4 linked regions of the Arabidopsis thaliana genome follow. The protein of the gene in region 1 interacts with the protein of each later gene in a biochemical or structural test. Each region holds a gene or a part of one and is shown on either strand. Other genes may lie near its edges. The genes, in order: FD, CPK6, CPK33 and CPK4.

Region 1 (4,811 bases):
CATATTGTTCGTTGGATTATAAATTTGAATGTAAACGAACATGAATAATTAAAAACAAGTTGAGATTTGTCTCTTCATCAAATCAAATCACTTGTCCACCGAGTTCGAGTCTTTTTTCAAGCCAACGAGTCTATCTTAAACCCTTTTACGTCTCTAAATATATAGAGATGTAATTAGTATTTTATTTCTTCACCACCAAACAATGTTTTATAATTGTAGGAAATCGAGATATATAAAACAATGAATTATTTTGCACTTACTACTTTTGGTAGGCATATTTCATGTTGTATGATAGTCCGGAAAATTTTATATAACTTGCTAAAACAGAATTTGTTTCCATTTATATGCATTGTTTAAAAGTAAACTAAAGAGGATATTAAAAGACAGAGAAATAGATTTGATGGAGTTTGGGACAGAGCAATATAGTGCTGACACCTGTCCAATCCCCTGAGACGTGACATGTCACACTCCTTTCTTATACAACTTACAAGTTCTCTGCACAATTTTATGATACAATGGACATTTGAATTCACTCGTTACAGACTATACCCCAACTTTATTTTGAGTTTATTTTGCAAAAATGATTTGAGACTGGGAAAATTTGTTTTATTTTCGTCAATGAATATGCGTAGTGACGTCGATACTAACAAAAGTACTACTCTTTACATTCGAATTTTTGGTGGTTGCGAAACGACAACAAAGATCTATGAAATTTGTGTTTCACATTAAAAACTCAAAATGTATTTTGAAACCCAATGTTTGGAAACATGTAAACAAATTAAAGTCTTTGTACTTTTCACCAACAAATGGAAAATATATATCTTCTAACAAATATGAGTATTTGAGGAGCTTGCATTTTCGATAAACAGCTCCTAATGTAGTACTCTTTGCATGTTCAAAAGATGGGACGTTTCCTTGAGGGCTGATTTCAACATTCAGAGAAAAAAAATTATATACATGTACGGAAATGAATAGTTAATCTTGTTGAATAGAATAAGAGAAGAGGAAAGAAAAACAAATATCGTATGTTATTATAGTTTATATATAATCAACTTGCAATAAAGGAAAAATTTGAAAAGCGTGACTAGATATGCACTTGGAGACTGACTTACATAGTAGATACGATAATCGAATATCTAGATATCTGGATGGTACTCATATTATTTGTTTATTACGTATGATCAAAGATTTATTAATATGTATCATCTTCTACTTGGCTTAATTATTAACTAGTTTAGTATTCGTCTCTAATCTTCAAAACAATCAACATAAATATCTAAACTATATTGGTCATATAAAATCTAATACTTTACTATCCACTTGTAATGTTTGTTTTGTTCAGAGTTGGAGACCCACATAAATTGATTTCCCTATCCGTATTGTAAAACAGACTATTGACACTTTGATCAAATCTCGTTGGATGACATGAACACCAATGATTTGAAGTGGGGAACAATTCAATAGTTAACAATATTTTTGTTATTTAAATGCATTTCAACTATACGGTCGATATTATTTGAAATGTTTGCAACTACATATTTAAGAAAACGTTAAGTGCAAATGACCCGTTCTTAAACACTCCGAATCTCATATAAAATAAAGTTTTTTTGTACTAATCAAACATATAATTTTCAGACTTTTAGTTTTGATAGAAACAAATTACATATACGAACACCCAAGTACTACTTTTTATATTCGATAATATTATTCTATCTTCGTTTAAAATATATTAACCACATCAAGAAAAGAGGAATGAAATATTCTAACGGAATTAATGTTTGCTGCCAAAAACAAAAAAAAAACAGAAGAAATTTTTACATTTGAGTTTATTGGTATAGTAGTTAGGATTTTGTGTTTTATTATATATTTAAACGAATTTATTTAATTATTTCTAATACAGAAAGATGTATATATTCTTATCTACTTTCATTTTGTTTTTAATGTTTTATTTCGTCAATACCCTTAGGGGAAAAAAGTGTATTTTGGCAAATTTTCCTTAAATCTAAGAGCAAGAACAAAAATTAAAGTCACACATGAAAGTTGAAAGTGATCCAAAGGGATTTGATATTAGAAAATAGAAAGTGAGATAAAACCAAAAATAATTTTATATATTTGCCTGGCTTTTTACAAGCATCTCACCCCCACTCACTCTTTACATTTAAGGATGATGAAAAATACTTCACTTTTGAAATAATCAAACACCATTTTTAATCTTTATAATAACTCTGACGTTGAAGACATCAACAAACACCTTTAATTACATATAATAGTTTATGGAATTTCTCTTCTTCTTCTTGAAATATATTATTTAATTGGAAATAGTTCAATCCCTCTGTCTCTTCTTCTGGAGTCTTGGACCCAACCCCATCATTCCAGAAATGACCGGCTAAAGTCAAGAACCTCTCTCTGAGCTCTCACCACTTTCTCTCTCTACTCCCTCTCTGCGTGTAGGATACTACTAGACAATTGACAACCAAAGACTAAAGCTGTGTTGTTGGTTCACTTCTGTTCTCTTTTCCAATGTTGTCATCAGCTAAGCATCAGAGAAACCATAGACTCTCTGCTACAAACAAGAACCAGACTCTCACCAAAGTTTCTTCCATTTCATCCTCATCACCATCGTCTTCTTCTTCATCATCATCAACCTCATCATCATCTCCTTTACCTTCTCAAGACTCTCAAGCCCAGAAGAGATCTCTTGTCACCATGGAAGAAGTTTGGAATGACATCAACCTTGCTTCCATCCACCACCTAAACCGACACAGCCCTCATCCACAACACAACCACGAGCCAAGGTTCAGGGGCCAAAACCACCACAACCAAAACCCTAACTCAATCTTCCAAGATTTTCTCAAAGGATCTTTGAACCAGGAACCAGCACCCACAAGCCAGACCACGGGTTCTGCGCCTAATGGCGATTCCACCACGGTCACTGTTCTTTACAGCTCTCCTTTTCCACCTCCTGCAACTGTTCTGAGCTTGAATTCCGGCGCTGGCTTCGAGTTTCTCGATAACCAAGATCCTCTTGTTACCTCAAACTCTAATCTTCATACCCACCATCACCTCTCAAACGCTCATGCCTTCAACACCTCTTTCGAGGCTCTGGTTCCATCCAGTTCTTTTGGTAAGAAAAGAGGCCAAGATTCCAATGAAGGTTCAGGGAATAGAAGACATAAGCGTATGATCAAGAACAGAGAATCTGCAGCTCGTTCCCGCGCTAGGAAACAGGAATGTGCCTCTCCTCTTCCCTCCTAATCTTCTTCTACTCATGTGTATCAAAAAGGGAAGAAAAGAAATGTGGTTTTGCCATCAAATTGCTTTTGATCTAAAAAAAGGTCTCTTGGTTTTGATTCTCATTTGCAGGCTTATACAAACGAGTTAGAACTTGAAGTTGCTCACTTGCAGGCAGAAAATGCAAGACTCAAGAGACAACAAGATCAGGTAAACAAGCAGAGCCAAGTTCTTAATGTTTTACCCTTTTGTAGCACTCATGTCATTAGATCAATTCCTTGTAGTTTAACCAACTTATAAAAAGAGACAGACAGACAGCCTCTGGAGTATATTTGTTTTACACACTTTTTTGTCCAATGACATTTTGGGTGGTTAGATTCTGATACTTCAGTTGTGTGTTTATTATGTGTGTGTGTGTGTGCAGTTAAAAATGGCTGCAGCAATTCAGCAACCCAAAAAGAACACACTTCAACGGTCTTCCACAGCTCCATTTTGAGAAATCTACAAGTCCTTGTTTCTCTTTTGGGGATTGAGATTGTCTCATGAAGAAGTGAAAAAATGGCAAAAGTTTGTACCCTTTTTTATTAGCTATAAGTATAACTAAGCCTAAAATTGTAGAACTAAGATATTGTAGGGGAAAAAAGAAGATGTAAAACAAAAGACCCGGAAAGAGAAAAGGATCTTTCAATTTCCTAAGGCACAGGAACACCTGTCCTGGGTCCTCTCTTAATGTTCTGTCGTTTTCCTATGCAAACCCTTTTTTCACTTCTGTACTAACTTCTACTTGTATTCTTGTTGTAGTAATGTTCTACTTCCTCTTCTAATACTAGTAAGAAAAAAAACCTTATGTTTTACTGTTTAACCAATTTGGTTCTTAAAAGAAGCAAAGGATCAAATGACCAATAGACAAAACAGTGCTCCACTTAAATGATGACAATACCAGAGAAAAGTGAGAAGGGGACCTATCACTGAACATTTAATTTTCTCCCTATCACATTATCACATAAATATCCAATCCTTTGGCTGTCTACCATACAAGCCAACAACTTGCAATATGATTTTGAAACCTCCAAGCCAATGGGAATTAAGTTCACCACTTTTCGGGTTGGTCAAGAGAGAACATGATAAGTTTCTTATTCAGCATGGTCACTCCCCACGTTTTATTTATATTCATAGTACATAGTATTGTAGCTTTTGCTCTAACTGGTCACCATCAAAAACACTAGGTGTGTTTGTATTCATTTGGTTTATCAAGAGAATAGTTTTTATCTTCTTTTGGCCCAATTTCATTTACCTGACAGTGATAAGTCTTGTTGATCCACTTTTGGTTGTTGATATATTGCTGTGTATTCTTTTAAGCAACCAAAAGTGGACATCAAGAGCTAATATGGTGTAAATATAGTGGACATTAAGATAAAGAAGAATAGTTACCAAAAGTGGGACTATGACTAGAATCTATCCTCACATTATATGGTTACACTTAGAGCCCCTCAAATAGGCATCCAATACTTTAAATCATGCTTCTACTTTCATTCCAGTCAATAAGAATCCTAGACTTCAAGAAACTTTAAACGAAAAAG
Region 2 (6,051 bases), on another chromosome or scaffold:
AATTTGTATAACTTGAAACTGTTTAACTAATCAACATCTTTAACTTTGTTCAGTTTGAGCAACTGTGAGCTTCGCTCAATGGTTATCGTGGATCGAGGGTAAGCAATAATTACAATAAGTTTTGACAGAATATAAATATAATTTGAGAGTGTGTTGGATTATTTATTATGGTGTTGGGTGTGTAGGAACCTGGGGACTGACTCTGCAGAGACCACAAACTATCCTGGGAAGGTTCCTGAAGGACTTGATAATCCTAGTGGCTAAATGGCTGAAGAGTAAGAGAGAGAATTCTGAGATAGTTTTTCTTTCTAAAATAAATAAATTACATGATGTTTCCATTGGACTAGAATCTGGCATTTTCAGTTATTTGATGAACATTAGTGTTGGTATGTAGCCATGTAGGTTGACTCTGCTGCTACATGAATTTATTGTATGATTGTTATTATCCAAAATTTAGCGGTAGCTTTAATATTTCTGCTCCAATTCTCATTTTAGCTGTGATTATACAATTGTGGAAATAATAGCATTACAAGTAGAGGAACTGGTAGATGCAACTAAATTATAAGTGTGAATCTTAGATGAGTAGATTTATCTCTATCAACATGAGAACCAGCAGAAACTTAAAACATTATTTATGTAAGATCAACTTCATATTTTATGGCAGCTGTGTTGAATTTTCTTATGGCCAAGCATTTTAATAAAACAAAGAGAAAATTCCAAAAATTACACTCAGCTTTTCTTATAGTACTAGGTTTTATCTTTTGGTGTTGAGATTTTTTATGAAAATAGAAAATGTTTTAAGTGTTTTTATAGAAGTAGATCAAAGTTTAATGCTCTTCGTACGTTCTATGTATTTGGACTTTAATATAATCGATAATCGTATTCAGATTCTTTATAGAAATTACGCTCTCTCCAAACTATTGGAGAAAGCTTTTACCATTAGGAATTCGAAATTTTTTGTTCCCCAATTTTGAACATATGATAAGATCTTTTAAAGAACACTCGACAATGTAAAATTTAAAGTAGGTCTAGCTTCTTATCCGTTTAAGAGAACGATTTTTTTTTTTAAATGATATGATTCACGGTTTGTAAAGTTATCTATTGGAAAATAAAAAAACTGTAAGTACAATACTGTGATGTCAAAAAGAAAAAAAAAGTACACCCAAACTAAATTTGTACCACGTGCGAGACAAATTGTAGTCTGCGATCTTACTCACTACCCGACAATGACATGCCCCATGCCTTAGTTCTTGTAAGAAAAAAGTGATATCCTATATACTTCACTAATTATTGGTAAAATTATGCAAAACTTTCAGTGCTAAAAGTTTGATTTATACTGTACTAGTTGTTATTTCAACGTAGACATACCAAAATGTTTATTCAAGAAAGCCTATATACTAGCAAAAGTAAAAAAGAATGTGACATCTTTGATGAACCAATGTGAAAAGTCAACATAATAAAACTTGAGTTTTCAGAACAAATTTAGTTGTCCATTGTTTCGATCTGTTAATCAAGACCATAAATTAACTCTTAACTATATGCATCTAATAATAATATTTTGTAGTTAGCTAAGTTAAGCACATCCAACTCTTAAAAAAAGCTAGTATAACGTTAGGCTTATAATCATTCTCTTAATAATAAGTTATCCTAAACAAATTATTGCAATTTTTTATTCTCCCTACTTGCACTAAGTATCATTACACCAGTAAAAGATGATGATCCCTTAAATTAATACTAATTAAACAAGCAATTAAGGAATGAAGAAGGTGAGACGAAACCGCGTAAAAGACCTTTCTTCTTTGCACCATCCTCTCTCCTTCATCATTTCACAAATCCACAAAAGAATCAATCTTTTTAACACTCTCTAATGATTCAACGAATCCAATTACCCAACCAGAAACAGCAACACATATAGAGATATATACTATTAAACAATAACATAACAAAGAAACCATTTTTTCTCTTTTGTTATTGACTTAAACAAAAACTATCAACGAATAATTATCCTTTTTTGAGTTTTTCCCATTTCTTCTTCGTCTCCATTTCATCGTCTTCTCGCTGTTCTGCTATATTCCGGTACTAGATCCTCTGTTTTCTCATGTTTCTTTTATTACCAAATGATTTCTTCATTTATTGTTGTGTCTTTGATTCTTTTTTGGGATCTATAATGATCGATGAACATTTAAAGCTACGACTTTTCAGGAGCTCTTGTCTTTTTTTCTTTAATCTTTGATTATGTTACAAAACAATTATGTTTTTTGAAGCTTGATCTGATGTGGGTTCTTTGATTTCGTTCCAAAGTTTGATACTTTTTTGGCTTCTCTTTATCTGATTTTTTTTGTGTATGTTTGTTCATGAAACAGTTTCGTTGGATGAGGAGAAGAAGAAAGTGAAAAAAGTTGTGAAATAGAGAGAGTTTGTTTCATGGGCAATTCATGTCGTGGTTCTTTTAAGGACAAAATCTACGAGGGCAATCATAGTAGGCCCGAGGAGAATTCCAAATCCACCACCACTACTGTTTCCTCTGTTCATTCTCCTACTACAGACCAAGATTTCTCCAAACAGAACACCAATCCAGCTCTTGTGATTCCTGTTAAAGAACCCATTATGCGGCGTAACGTTGACAATCAATCTTACTATGTTCTTGGTCACAAGACTCCTAACATTCGTGATCTTTACACGTTGAGTCGTAAGTTAGGACAAGGACAATTCGGGACAACGTATTTGTGTACTGATATTGCCACAGGTGTTGACTATGCTTGTAAGTCTATATCCAAGAGGAAATTGATATCTAAAGAAGATGTTGAGGATGTTAGGAGGGAGATTCAGATTATGCATCATTTAGCTGGTCACAAGAATATTGTTACTATTAAAGGAGCTTATGAGGATCCTTTGTATGTTCACATTGTGATGGAGCTTTGTGCTGGTGGTGAGTTGTTTGATAGGATTATTCATAGAGGTCATTACAGCGAGAGGAAAGCTGCTGAGTTGACCAAGATCATTGTCGGTGTTGTTGAGGCGTGTCATTCTCTTGGTGTTATGCATAGAGATTTAAAGCCTGAGAATTTCTTGTTGGTTAATAAGGATGATGATTTCTCTCTTAAGGCCATTGATTTTGGTCTCTCTGTTTTCTTCAAACCAGGTAAGCGTTAGTTGCGAGTTTCTCATTGTTCTGAATCTATTTAAGTACCATGATGTGTTTTGTAGTATACATTACTGTGACTTTCTATTCATCAAATGAGTAAGGGAATGTAAATGTTTCAGCTTTGCATAATGTGTAGTCTTACTCTAATATCAGGCCAAATATTCAAGGATGTTGTTGGAAGTCCATACTATGTTGCTCCTGAGGTTCTTCTAAAACATTATGGTCCAGAAGCTGATGTGTGGACTGCTGGTGTTATACTCTATATCTTACTAAGTGGTGTCCCGCCTTTCTGGGCAGGTATGCGGGCGATATAGCTGTTTCAATGCGTTCTCTTAATTAGTGCCATTGACAAGGTTTCCTGAAGTTTGGTTTTGTGTTTTTGAAATCAGAAACACAGCAAGGAATATTTGATGCTGTGTTGAAGGGATATATTGACTTTGATACAGACCCGTGGCCTGTCATATCCGACAGTGCTAAAGATCTGATCCGGAAGATGTTATGCTCTAGTCCTTCTGAACGTTTGACTGCTCATGAAGTCTTGCGTACGTAATCAATTACACTTAAATAAATGGTTACATTTGGCAGCCACACAACATTAGACTATATCTCTTGTATGTATCTCTTTTTTTTTCAGGTCATCCATGGATCTGTGAGAATGGAGTTGCACCGGATAGAGCACTTGACCCGGCTGTTTTGTCTCGTCTAAAACAGTTTTCTGCAATGAATAAATTAAAGAAGATGGCTTTAAAGGTCAGTTTGTAGTTATACTCAATCTTCTATTGTCTCTGCATCACATTCGTTTGAGATATGTTTACTCATATTAGTGATTATGGAATGATCAGGTGATAGCTGAGAGCCTCTCAGAAGAAGAGATTGCGGGTTTAAGAGCAATGTTTGAGGCAATGGATACTGATAACAGCGGTGCAATCACTTTTGATGAACTCAAAGCTGGCTTGAGAAGATATGGATCAACCTTGAAAGACACCGAGATCCGAGATCTTATGGAAGCGGTAACAATGCATCCTTTTGAGATATGCACACTAGTTCATTTCGCTATATAGATGACAATAACCATACTCTCTGTGTTGTATCTTAGGCTGATGTGGACAACAGCGGTACAATAGATTACAGCGAGTTTATTGCAGCGACGATCCATCTGAATAAACTAGAGAGAGAAGAGCATCTTGTCTCTGCATTTCAGTACTTTGACAAAGATGGAAGTGGTTACATCACCATTGATGAGCTGCAACAATCTTGCATTGAACATGGGATGACCGATGTTTTTCTTGAAGACATAATCAAAGAAGTAGATCAAGACAACGTAAGCTTTGCCTCTTGACATGATTCTTCCACTCTTCACCATTGGTGTTTGCTAATAAAGTTTTGGTTTTTGTTTCTTACAGGATGGACGGATTGATTACGAAGAATTTGTTGCGATGATGCAAAAGGGAAATGCTGGTGTAGGGAGAAGAACAATGAAAAATAGTCTAAACATCAGCATGAGAGATGTGTAGGCACATACACACATCTTTAAATCGTCTATTCGGTGAGGATGCAAATGTTTCCATGGAATCAACATTTGCAATGTTTAATCACAGAGGAGGAAGAGAAACCAGATTCATAGCTGCAGCGAACCAGCTAAATCGTTGAAGGTTTGAGTTAAAAATGTTAAAAACTACTGTATGATTAAAAAATGGTGAAAGATAAAAAAAAAGTGTTAAGTTCTGTTCATCAGTAGCTGTGAGGACTATTTCTATTTTCTCTCTCTCTGTTTTGTTTGTTTGTAACAACTGTTTAAGTTTGGTTTTTATTTCATCTCCATCGTCGAAAGCTTTGACCCTTTTTGGGTTTTTGAAAGATCAAATCATCTTCCAATATAGTACAAATGTGATATACAAGTTGTGTGACAATCTTCCACCTTTTAGTTGTTGTTGCTGTTGTTAGTACACAAACGCATACTCTTCACTTTGGTTTGTTAAACTTTTTAGCTCGGCTTTGGTCGTCTTTTCTCACATGCATACTTCCAAATTGGAGTCATAGCGACAACATTAATACAACTAGTCAACTACTATGTTACAAGTTTCTGTCCACTAATTTCTTTCTCTAATTACATCTGAATCTGTAAGTACATAAACATGTATGTACATATGAACACATGAGTGTGTGTATATACACAAAAATTTATGTAATAAAAGAGCAATAATTGATGTAAAATGTGGAATACTGTATGATGATAGCTACTAAGTCTCAATCATGTAATCAAAGTGATGTCTTAGAACCAAACTTAAGGTTGTTCGAAACAATCAATCATACATTGGTCCCAATGTGGTGGATTGGAACATGACAGGGAAACCATGTGCTCCCACTTATTTATATATATGCATCGTATGTTCGTATGTATTAATGTATATACATTTCACACCACATGCAGTGAGTTATTTATGTCACCTTTTATTTAGTTTTCCGAAAAATGGTGAAATAGATTGGTCAAATTTCGTCTACAAAGTAAATTAAAAAAGATCATTAAATCAGTCGTTACGAGAAAATAAAGCACATCCTCATATATCAAAGATTAAAAATATAATAAAACTAAACAATACATGTACGCACACGTAGAAGATTAGGGTTTTGAGTTATGCCGCCTCCTACCATCTATATAAATAAATCTAGCGTCTCTAATATCTTCATAAACCTCTCAAACTTTGCTGAGCTTGATTATTCCATAGATGTTTGGTTCTTGATTCTCTATATCCTACTCGTTTGTTTTGTATAGAAGTTTATTCCTAATGAAGAAGCAATCCCATAGATAGGAAGTGCCGTATGACACTTTACACAACAGCGGACTGAACGAGGATGCATCCGGTGATTTCTCATCCCCCGAGCAGTTTTCCTGATCCGTTTACGGT
Region 3 (5,298 bases), on another chromosome or scaffold:
ATTAAGGTATAATCTCATCCTTTACTGTTTAGGATCTAAATTTCAGGCTATTGCAGTAGTTAAGATATCTTATCTTTCTCTGCTTGAAGGGTTTTGGAAAATGTTCTCCTCCTTGAGACATACACCCCTGACTCCATATCAGCTCTGCACAACATCAGGTGCGGGAATCTATTTTCCAGACATGTTTCTTTCCATGTATTTGATAAATCCATGACCCCGTCTCTCACCTCCAAGCATTATTGTATTTTTTTAGGAATTATCTAGTCGAGGCTACCGAGGAAGCTTCAGCTGCATACAACAAAGCGGTTTGTGTCTTTATCCTCTCTTACATTGCTTAGCACTAAACCCTTTTGTTCAGTCTTCATTGGCATTTTACTCCCGATTAATTAACCGAGCCTGCGAAATGACACACAGGTTACTCGGCTTAGAGAATATCAAGGAGTAGATCCGCATTTTGATACAATTGCCAGACAGTACCATGACATTGTTAAGGTACAAGCAAGTCATTACTTAAGTCATTTCACCTTCTAAATTTGATTTGACTTGTGGGAATACAACAACACGAATTATAATGAGAGCTTTCATGGTTTTGCAGAAACTGGAAAATATGCAGTGGACCATTCATCAAGTAGAAATGGACCTTAAGTCTCATGACTGATCACTAGATTTGTTAACACTTGTGATATATGTATTAGCAAATCTAATCCTCCAAGAAAGATTGAACTGGGAGAAAAAATCAGTATAATTTAAATATACATCTAGCTATGTGGTCCACTACTTGTAATCTACTTACATTGTGTTATCTTCCTCTGTTATATACTTTTATTGGTCCTTCAAACCAAATGAGATGACCAGTTTAGCAGTACCAAAATAAATGAAAGCAATCATCTCTCTCTCTCTCTTTTCAACCTTAAATTTTTGCCTAAACAACAATAATAATACCACTCTTGTCTTTTTTGATTAGATTCAGACAGAAGACAAATAAAATATGTTAGAACAATCTTGGTTGTTGTGGATTCCCACTTCTCATCATAGCACAAAACTCGTCATAGTTGATTCTACCGTCCTGTAACAAGAAACAAAATTTGAGGTCAGAGAAAGAAAACGAAAAACGTTACAAGGGCGAAGAGCTTTAATCTTTTGGCTTTTACATTATCAGCGTCGACATCAGACAAAATCTCTTTGATAGTAGCATCATCTCCCATTCCATATTCCTTCAAAGCAGCCTCTAGCTCGTCTGTCGTAATGTATCTATTAAACACATTTTCAGTAATAGTCTCATCAATCATTGCTAACAAATCTATTTACATTGCAAAATGATTCATACCAAAAGAAAGATCACTTACCCACTCCCATCTTTGTCAAAATGTTGGAAGGCTTTGTAAACGTTCTCATTACTTTCAAGCCTATGTCTATGCATTGTTGCAGTAATAAACTCAATGTAATCTATTGACCCATTTCCATCAACGTCAGCCTGAATCACAAAAACCCGAATAGGAGTTTTTAAACATTCAAGAAGTAAATGAACGATCTTGTCTTGATCAAAACTTACAGCATCCATGAGCTGTTTCACTTCAGCTTCAGTGAGTCTTGATCCCAGTTTGGCTAATCCTTCTTTCAATTCTTCGTATGTGATAGTACCACTATTGTCTGTATCTATATTAGCAAACATCGCCTTTAAGCCTTGTATTTCTTCCGTGTCAATGTTCTCCGCAATGACCTGTGTCAAAATCAATCTGTAAGATGAAAGGTACAAAGGACTGTCAAATCTGGCAACAAGGTGTAGAATCTTTGATCTAACCTTTAAAGCAAGTTTCTTTAGTTTATTCATCGCTCTAAATTGCTTCATCCTTGAGAGAACAGCACTATCAATAGGCTTATCCGATGCTTCTCCACCTTCTCTTAGCCATGGATGCTCTTCAAAAGGTAAAACATCAACCATATTGTCAACATTCAAGTAAGTATACAAGAAGTTACCATAACCAACAAAGAATAAGATCGTTTACTTACTAAGAACTTCAGCAGCAGAAATCCGTCTTTTCGGATCTTGTGTCAACATTCTACGTACCAAATCTTTAGCACTATTGGAAATTGAGGGCCAAGGTTGGGATTCAAAGTCGATTTCACCTTCCAATATAGCATCAAATATCCCTTTCTCCGTTTCTACATTCCCAAAGCCAACAATCCATACTCATACACACATGCAACTACATTCTTCTCAAATATATATGAATCGAAATAACCGATAATTTCATCGCATTTACCAGCCCAAAACGGAGGCACACCACTAAGTAGAATGTATAGTATAATTCCAGCACTCCATATATCGATTTCTTTACCATATCTCCGCTTCAAAACTTCAGGAGCAACATAATATGCACTCCCAACTATATCTTTATACACTCTCCCTGCAAAATAAACCATCATGAATGAACCAATTCCAAAAGACATATCACCAATACAACAAAAGATGTAATATACCTTCTTCGATAAAGACTGATAATCCGAAATCAGTGGCTTTGATAAGAGCCTTCTCATCTTTGCTAGATAACAAGAAATTCTCAGGCTTTAAGTCTCTATGCATCACACCCATGAAATGACAAATATTGACAACATTAACAATCTGTCTACAAACAGAAGCAGCTGCTCTCTCACTGTAATGTCCCTTTGCTAAAATCCTATCGAACAATTCACCACCAGCACAAAGCTCCATAACCAAATTCACAGCTTTCTCATCTTCATAAGCTCCTTTAAACTCAACAATGTTAGGTTGTCCACTCAAATGCTGCATAATCTGAATCTCTCTCCTCATATCTTCTTTATCACCTTTCGTCACAAGTTTCTTCTTGGAAATCGACTTGCAAGCGAATCTCTTCCCCGTCGACTTCTCTGTGCACAGATACGTTACTCCAAACTGGCCTCGACCCAATTCTTTGCTCAAAGTGTAGAACAGTTTCACGTCTTCGTACGGCTTCTCGAGTATAGCTGCAGCACCACTGTGTTTCGCTGGATTCCGCCAAGGTGGTGGTTGATTCGTTCCGGTGGATATTTTAGACGGATCTTGGTGGGTGCTCCTTCTTCTGTTCTCGATCTCAACTGATCTTTCACCATTTTGTTGTGGTTTCATCACCAATCCGTATTTCTTGGCTAAGCAATTCCCCATTGCCCGTTCGTCTTTGCTTTAGCTAAATAAGCTCAAAATATCACGACCCAGAGACCAAAGATCGAACCTTTCGTGAAAATTTGCAGAGAATCAGGGATATAAAACAGAGAAATAAGCAAAGGTTTGATCTTTTTTTTGGGTGGGTTTATACTAGAAGACGTATAGGCTACAATTCAGCAACTAAGGACAACGAACTTGGTTAATCAAGCAAAGATTTGTGTTTAAGAGATTTAGAACAAATGATTGTTTGGAAAGTTGAATTGCAGAAGAATCATGAAAAGTTGGGGAAGAAGAAGTTACAAAGTAGTGGAGGGATCTCTAAAGGTCGGCTTTTTGGGGCAGCTGTGGAGTTTAGTTTGTTCGTGAAATTAAATTGACAATTTTTTTAACAAGACAAGTCAATTTCTTTTGTGACTTTTTTAATTTTCTTTGGCCAGATTTTCCAGTTTTGTTGTCTAGCCTTCTTAGCTAATATGTACGCCATTGTGTTCTCCTTCCCATTAACGCGCATAAATCTATAAGAAACCTTTGCCATGATCATTATATCTTTAATGTATCCTTGAATTTCCAACGGTCCATATGATTTTTGGCGCTGTTCTATTGCCCTCTCCAAGTGACCATATAAGATATTCGAGTCCTCGCAAAATATGACACCCTGATAGCTCAGCCGCTTCATTTGAAATAGAGCCTCCCTCAATGTTATGGCCGATTGAAAAGAGTCGATGAAGGTCGCTTTTAGAGTCTGTCTAAATTTTGTAACGTGATATAGTAATTCTTCTTTTGTGCCTTTTAAATTTCTGCTTTGAACTTTTATCGATTTTCTTTTGTGCATACTAGTTGAAATCGTTAAAAATCAGCATTATTCTAAAAATTGGGGGTTCTTAGTGAATTTCTTAACATAAAATACCACAAAATATTCAAAAGAGAGCGAGGAAGGATAGGTTCAAGTTCTTGTTTACCCTCCATATGCCACTTTTTTTCTAATATAGTATATAATCATCAACAAAAGTTTCATGGCTCATGGAGGATGGACCTACTATCGATGAACAGAAAAATGAATAATCAAAACTTCCCTAAACACATATCAATACGTGATGATACTATAACCAACAGTAACGTTTTCATGTCTTTGCTCCTACGTTTATGGCCACACTACTCAGGAAGATTCCCACCAAATTTTCAAACCTTACCTACATATCTAACAATCGTGGTTTAGGTGGACAATCGATGGACCAAGTCTCTGTTGGTTTCCAGTTCATTCGCAGTGTAAGTTGTTACTGCTGGAAAATTTCAAAGGTGGGAAGAACAGGAAAGAGTAGAGCCGTAAAACCATGGGAGACAACGAAGAAGAAGACCAATACAAGGAAGACAGCAAAAATGAAGAAAAAATAGATGAGGAAGCAAATTAGCAATGACAGTAGAACCATGCTGTGTCCAACAGGATTTACCTGTGTTGCCATGGTGTCTCCAACAGGAGGACAATTCTCGCTAGGTGTAACCAATAAAAGATACAAGCTACCAAAAATCTTTACAAAACAAAGTAAACAACTTGTCGCAATAGAAGTTAAAGATACACACAGCTTAATGGTACGAGAGTAAAAGATGCATAAGTTTATCCCAGAAACGGTAAAGAAGTTTGCAGATAAATAGAAAGTTGAGTAGAATGTCATTATACAAAGGAACATCCCGTTACATCTGCCACTACTTGGTCCTAAACAGTAAACACACAAAAAAAAACAAGATTTTACCAAAACACATATCAATAACAACTTAAACTTAGTAGGATGGGAAAATTTTAGAGCTTACGAATCTAATAATGGTTTAGGGTGGACACGGTAGACCGTTTCAATCCCTCGAAGGTAGCGAACGGCAGCTTGAAAAGTAATGGGGTCAGTGTGAGAATTAGCATCCTTGGCCTCGAAGGTGATGTAGAAAATGAATCCGGCTCCATATTTCCGATTAGCCTTGACAGCTCTCACAAGTTCAAGATTTTCCAGCTTATCATCATTGTATTTCTGAAGAGCAATCTTGGATAATCTATGAACCAAATCTCCGTCGGTTTCGGGTTTATGAGCAACGTCACTATCCTCGAAGATAACAGGATAGCAAAACACAAGGCGTCTTTGTTTCGTGGT
Region 4 (5,994 bases), about 11 Mb from region 1:
AAACATTTAGACCCATTATATAGAAACAGACATAGAATTTGGAAATTTTGAATAAACCGATCAAGCTGAGAGTAACTAAGAGAACACAAATAAATAAGAAACTCAAAATATTTAAGAGATTTCAGTCAGTGAATAACGAAAGTACCTCGGAGTAGAGATTCAACGTTGTATTAGAAGTAACCAACGACGGGAGATCTAGTTGAGCTCAAGTCACCGGATAATATTTCGCAAGATTGCGGCGGCGGAGAGAGATTGGTTTCAAAGAGTTTGAGATCGATGAGTGTAAGAGAGAAATGATGAAAAAGAAGTAGAAGAAATAGAGTTAGGTTTGTTTGTAGTTTCTCAAACATAATAAGGGTATAATTGTCATTTATCATATATAATACAACTTTTAAGCGTTGACCGCAGCATTATGCCGCACTTACTTGCATCTGCCGCTGTTGCAGCAACCTAGATAATCAAACGAACATCTTATTAAAAAAAAACAGAAGCTGAAAGCCCAAGCTTATTTAAAGATGGGCCAATAGGGGCCTGCATAAAGTTCCAATTTTATTTAGAAAATATCTATTTAACATCATTTATGAATAAAGTGTCCTCCGATGCTATTTGGGTTTGGTTAAAGATGGATTTTGGAGGTTTTCCAAATGATGTCAGATTTTGAAGATGAACAATGAAATAAATATATCTAAAGCTTATACATCTAGGTCTCTTACCCAACGGCGATGAAATAAAGAATACATGTACTAAAACGACGCATGCAAAATAATACCTGAAATTTTCTTTCTACGTTGGAACTCATTGCAAAAGATGAGGAATATTGCATAGCCATGGATTGGATAGAGCCATAAAGAATCGGTACACATTGCTTTTCATATTTTAATATCGTTAAGGCGTAATGTAATAAGTATTAGAAATGGATTTTTAAAAGTATTTAGATAGTTCGGGTTTAAATTTTATTTTATTGCTGATTGGACTTTGTTTTACAATTATAGAGAAATAATTTTGTGTTAAATTATAGTATTATACGACATTCACACAATTACATTTACATTAACATGTACCACGTCTATTTTATAATATTGCTCCAAAACGAAAGAGTGGTCTTCACGACGAGCGAGGTTTAAAATTTGTAGTCGTGCATTGCAAAAAGCTGCGAAAACCGTGTGAACTCTCAACCAAACCAAATATGATATGAAGAAATTGGTTCTTGTCCATTCGGTGGTTAGTGTGCATGCATGTCGGTGAATTTTATATGTTTTCCATTTACGACCTTTTCTCTTTATATCATATAGATTTTTAGGGGAAAAAAAAATCATATAGATTTTTAAAAAATCATGTTCCCAATTAAGACATAATGTTTAGTAGCCAAATTGAGAACCAACCTTTTTTCTGTTTATTAAATAATTTAAGTGGATGGATTTTACACATATATTTTAATGTCTTACATAAATAAAATATCATGTTATTTTTTTTGATAATATCATGTTTTATTGATAAAATCCATACATACTTGATACTTGCAAAAAATATCATGCACAAATTTATCTCTATAAATGGTTATCTACCTTTTTTTTTTTTTTTTTTTTGAACACAATTTACCTAATAATCTTAATAAATATAAGAGAAATGTAACGCATACTTTTGTTGGACATTGTTTTTGGTCGAGTCTGATTGGTTTTTTGTTCAGATCTATCGGATTTATGTATTTAAGATCTAATAAACAAATTATAAAAAATTTGATTCGATTTGGTTATCGATTTTATTAATAATGTTAATATAATCCGACTTACTTTGGTTAGAAAAATTAATTCAAAAGTAACAACAAAAAAAAATTGGATAACAAAACCATCTAAAATCCTGCTAATTAATTCACATCTAATAACCGAATCCGAACCTAAATGACCAAACCATTTGTGTAAAAATCTCAAGCCTAGTCCCTATATTTCAATAGATTTTTTTCTTTTTTTTTTGGTCAAGATCAATAGATTTTTTTCATCAATTCAATTTATTGCAAATTTGCAATAATAGTTGGTAAATACTATAAATGTAAATGGTCACGGGATAACAAAAGAGCAATAATAATATAATAATTGCATAAGACGAGTCAACATGACCAAGAAACATTGAAGGGTTCGTAACTTCGTATCATCTTCCTCCTCCTCCTTTGATAAACACCAAAAAAAGGCAGAGACTTTCGAAATCAAGAACAATGGAGAAACCAAACCCTAGAAGACCCTCAAACAGTGTTCTTCCATACGAAACACCAAGATTAAGAGATCACTATCTCCTCGGCAAAAAGCTAGGCCAAGGCCAATTTGGAACAACCTATCTCTGTACAGAGAAATCATCATCAGCTAATTACGCTTGCAAATCAATCCCAAAACGTAAGCTTGTATGTCGTGAAGACTACGAAGATGTATGGCGTGAGATTCAGATCATGCATCATCTCTCTGAGCATCCTAATGTTGTTAGAATCAAGGGTACTTATGAAGACTCTGTTTTTGTTCACATTGTTATGGAAGTTTGTGAAGGTGGTGAGCTTTTTGATCGGATTGTTTCTAAAGGGTGTTTTAGTGAACGTGAAGCTGCTAAGTTGATTAAGACTATTCTTGGTGTTGTTGAGGCTTGTCATTCTCTTGGTGTTATGCATAGAGATCTTAAGCCTGAGAATTTCTTGTTTGATAGTCCCAGTGATGATGCTAAGCTTAAAGCTACAGACTTTGGTTTGTCTGTCTTCTACAAGCCAGGTTCGTTGTTGATTCTTCTCTTTTGATTGGAATCTTATGGTTTTTGTCTTTGTTGGTTGGTTCAAGGAAATGTTTTGATTTGGTTTCTTGATTCGGATTTGCTGCTTGAGCATTGTTAGGGAAAGATTGAATTTTGTTATATCTGGTTTTGACATTTAGTTGATATATATGGATGTGTTGATTGTGCAAGGTTTTGTTATATATGTAACATATGCTTATGGTTATGAAGCGATCTTATCAGATTTTATTCGATTCATTGTCTAGATTATGTTGAGAAATGTCTTGTTTGGTGTTGAAAATCGGTTTCATGATATGTTATCTGTAGAATCATTTGTTGAATGGTCATTTCCAATTTGCTGCTTGAGCATTGTTAGAGAACCAATAATTTTCTGTGGCTAGATCTTTCTGAATCTTTTCTTGCAAGATTTACATAGTTTTGTTGTGTTACTTATGCTTATGTAATGATGCTATCAGAGCTACATTGTGTCCGACTAATTTCAGTGCTTAACAAAATTTTCAATTGTGTGGGTTTGCATCTTCAGGGCAGTATCTGTATGATGTAGTTGGAAGTCCGTATTATGTTGCACCTGAGGTTCTGAAGAAATGTTATGGACCAGAGATAGACGTGTGGAGCGCCGGTGTTATCTTGTACATCTTACTAAGTGGGGTTCCTCCTTTTTGGGCAGGTAAGTTTGTGAAAGCTAGTACCGTTGTTACTACTGAATCAAGTATATTGCTTATGTGATTTAAGCATCCATGAGTAATTTGTTTGCAGAAACCGAGTCAGGAATCTTTAGGCAGATATTGCAAGGGAAGATAGATTTTAAATCTGATCCGTGGCCTACTATCTCAGAAGGTGCTAAAGATTTGATTTACAAAATGCTCGATAGGAGCCCCAAGAAACGTATTTCTGCACATGAAGCATTGTGTAAGTTGTTACTTATGATTGTTTTCCTCTCTGCTACATGTATTTTGTTGTTCATTTCTGTAAGATATAAGAATTGAGTTTTCCTCTGATGATATTATTAGGTCACCCTTGGATTGTTGATGAACATGCTGCACCAGACAAGCCTCTCGACCCAGCAGTCTTGTCGCGACTTAAGCAGTTCTCGCAAATGAATAAAATCAAGAAAATGGCCTTACGAGTAAGAAAGTTGTAGCCCTTTAGTCTCCACTCTCATTGCTTATTTTCAAGAACTGATTTCCCTGTTAGGAAGATCGACTAAGATAACACATTTTAAGAACTATTTTCAGGAAATGAATAAACTTAAGTAAATGGCCTTATAAGTTGGAAAGCTATAGTTCTTTAAACTCTCAATGCCATTGCTTATATTCAAGAACTGATTTCCCGGTTTAGGTAATCGCGGAGAGACTCTCGGAGGAAGAGATTGGTGGTCTGAAGGAATTGTTCAAAATGATAGATACAGACAACAGTGGAACAATCACCTTTGAAGAGCTTAAAGCAGGTCTAAAGAGAGTTGGATCTGAATTGATGGAATCAGAAATCAAGTCTCTTATGGATGCGGTAATTATACCAAAACAAAAACTCTCTTTTAGAATATTGATTTCTCCGTTCTTCTAGGAATCACAAAGCTTAAATGGTGTTTTGCAGGCGGATATAGACAACAGTGGGACAATAGACTACGGTGAATTCCTAGCAGCGACATTACATATAAACAAGATGGAGAGAGAAGAGAACTTGGTGGTTGCGTTTTCATACTTTGATAAAGATGGTAGCGGTTATATCACCATTGACGAGCTTCAACAAGCCTGCACAGAGTTTGGTCTCTGTGACACTCCTCTTGATGACATGATCAAAGAGATTGATCTTGATAATGTAAGAAGCCTTCATGATCTGTTTCCTTTGTCTTGTTTCTTAGTGAGTTTGGTTTAAAACTGATGATGAAAATATGTGGTTTTGTTAGGACGGGAAGATTGATTTCTCAGAGTTTACTGCTATGATGAAGAAAGGAGATGGTGTTGGGAGGAGCAGAACTATGAGGAACAACTTGAACTTCAATATAGCTGAAGCTTTTGGAGTTGAGGACACAAGCAGCACTGCTAAATCTGATGATTCACCAAAGTAATTATAATCATCTATATACTTGGAATTGAGAAATGAGAACTCACAAAAGAAAAACTGAATCTTTCCTTTTTGTTTTCGTTTCCACTTTTGTAGATGAGCAACTTTCTCAATTTTGTTATAAGCATGGATAATTTTGCTTCATATTTTCTGCGTATAGAACCATTATATGATCAGAATCACCCATATTTGGTCAAAGCAATGTCTTCAAGCATTTACATAATCATGTTTGTTATACATAAGCCAATAGGCTGCAGAGTCAGATCTCTGAATCAAGTATTCAATATACAAAGCCAATCATGATTCAGTAAACTAGCTACACAAACACTTACTACTACAAGGGGGTAAGAGAAGCTCTCAAATCGAAGACAATAAACAAATCAAAGCCAGAGTTAGCGATTTTAAGCTCCGCGATGTTGCAGAAACAATCTTCTTCTTTTATCTTGAGCTCATAAACACCTTTGAAATGCTGCCATGCGACTGAAAGGTGCTGCTCATCAATATCTATATAAATGATTATACTCTTCAGTCTTCGACTCTTCATTCATATACTCTCTTTCTCTTTAGAAGGGCAGGGAATATGGAGATGGATCCAATGAGGAACAGCACTGACAAGGTCTTGAAATCATACAAATCCTTTACTGATCTGAGATCTCCAAGAGCCAAACCAGCCTGTGTAAATGAAAGTAAATGTTAGCCTCTTAAACACGAAAGAACAGCGGAATGAGATTGAACAATAGACTCACTCTAACTGTGATGTACGAAGCTGGCATAAGACCGACTAGAGTCGCCAAAAAGAAGACGTGAAAGGGTATGTCAACGATTGGAGAAGACAAATTGATAAAGAGGTTTGGAAGTGTTGGTGTTATCCTTAAGAACAGCATGTAGTTTAGCAGCCTATCTCTTCTTTTCGCAATCTGACCCATTGAAGATTTCAAGACATTAATGCTTTCAGAACAAGAGACATTACTAAATACTAATCAAACACAAAAGAACTTACCTCAGCTTGGAAAAACCTCAACTTTTCAGGCCATAACCAGTTAACCAATGGCCTACCGACCAATTTCGATAAGAAGAAGCAAGAACATGCTCCAGCAGTTGCATTAAGGACAACAAGAACAAAACCTCTAACCACACCGAAAAGAGCTCCAGCAAGCAATGACA

What was found.
Region 2: the proteins of FD (region 1) and CPK6 form a complex in vitro, tested with the Arabidopsis thaliana proteins (one study listed by BioGRID).
Region 3: the proteins of FD (region 1) and CPK33 form a complex in vitro, tested with the Arabidopsis thaliana proteins (one study listed by BioGRID).
Region 4: of the proteins of FD (region 1) and CPK4, one has a biochemical effect on the other in vitro, tested with the Arabidopsis thaliana proteins (one study listed by BioGRID).

The regions. Positions count from the first base shown.
Region 1 is NC_003075.7:17,002,226-17,007,036, forward strand, and holds FD (Basic-leucine zipper (bZIP) transcription factor family protein), read left to right. Parts: upstream 1-2,296; 5' UTR 2,297-2,520; coding exon 2,521-3,228; coding exon of another isoform or gene 3,229-3,255; exon of another isoform or gene 3,256-3,363; coding exon 3,364-3,441; intron 3,442-3,655; coding exon 3,656-3,727; 3' UTR 3,728-4,083; downstream 4,084-4,811. UniProt on the Arabidopsis thaliana protein: Transcription factor required for the transition to flowering promoted by FT.
Region 2 is NC_003071.7:7,514,581-7,520,631, forward strand, and holds CPK6 (Calcium-dependent protein kinase family protein), read left to right. Parts: upstream 1-1,749; 5' UTR 1,750-2,076; exon of another isoform or gene 2,077-2,275; intron 2,276-2,363; 5' UTR 2,364-2,424; coding exon 2,425-3,142; intron 3,143-3,298; coding exon 3,299-3,442; intron 3,443-3,534; coding exon 3,535-3,687; intron 3,688-3,779; coding exon 3,780-3,895; intron 3,896-3,987; coding exon 3,988-4,155; intron 4,156-4,241; coding exon 4,242-4,466; intron 4,467-4,548; coding exon 4,549-4,659; 3' UTR 4,660-5,082; downstream 5,083-6,051. Other genes in the region: AT2G17280 (Phosphoglycerate mutase family protein), read left to right, coding at 54-98, 186-264. UniProt on the Arabidopsis thaliana protein: May play a role in signal transduction pathways that involve calcium as a second messenger. Functions in abscisic acid (ABA) regulation of guard cell S-type anion- and Ca(2+)-permeable channels and stomatal closure. Phosphorylates FD.
Region 3 is NC_003070.9:18,780,079-18,785,376, reverse strand, and holds CPK33 (calcium-dependent protein kinase 33), read right to left. Parts: upstream 3,519-5,298; 5' UTR 3,164-3,518; coding exon 2,482-3,163; intron 2,409-2,481; coding exon 2,265-2,408; intron 2,164-2,264; coding exon 2,011-2,163; intron 1,918-2,010; coding exon 1,802-1,917; intron 1,721-1,801; coding exon 1,347-1,720; intron 1,252-1,346; coding exon 1,152-1,251; intron 1,067-1,151; coding exon 992-1,066; downstream 1-991. Other genes in the region: AUG4 (HAUS augmin-like complex subunit), read left to right, coding at 1-6, 90-158, 254-305, 415-492, 596-658; AT1G50690 (Cystatin/monellin superfamily protein), read right to left, coding at 4,865-4,874, 4,970-5,298. UniProt on the Arabidopsis thaliana protein: Ca(2+)-dependent protein kinase. Negative regulator of stomatal closure and slow anion currents. Unable to phosphorylate THI1 in vitro, but the kinase activity is essential for the stomatal closure regulation. Phosphorylates FD.
Region 4 is NC_003075.7:6,047,351-6,053,344, forward strand, and holds CPK4 (calcium-dependent protein kinase 4), read left to right. Parts: upstream 1-2,090; 5' UTR 2,091-2,209; coding exon 2,210-2,747; intron 2,748-3,289; coding exon 3,290-3,433; intron 3,434-3,522; coding exon 3,523-3,675; intron 3,676-3,776; coding exon 3,777-3,892; intron 3,893-4,104; coding exon 4,105-4,272; intron 4,273-4,359; coding exon 4,360-4,584; intron 4,585-4,672; coding exon 4,673-4,834; 3' UTR 4,835-5,030; downstream 5,031-5,994. Other genes in the region: AT4G09580 (SNARE associated Golgi protein family), read right to left, coding at 5,371-5,502, 5,577-5,747, 5,831-5,994. UniProt on the Arabidopsis thaliana protein: May play a role in signal transduction pathways that involve calcium as a second messenger. Functions as a regulator of the calcium-mediated abscisic acid (ABA) signaling pathway. Phosphorylates ABA-responsive transcription factors ABF1 and ABF4 in vitro.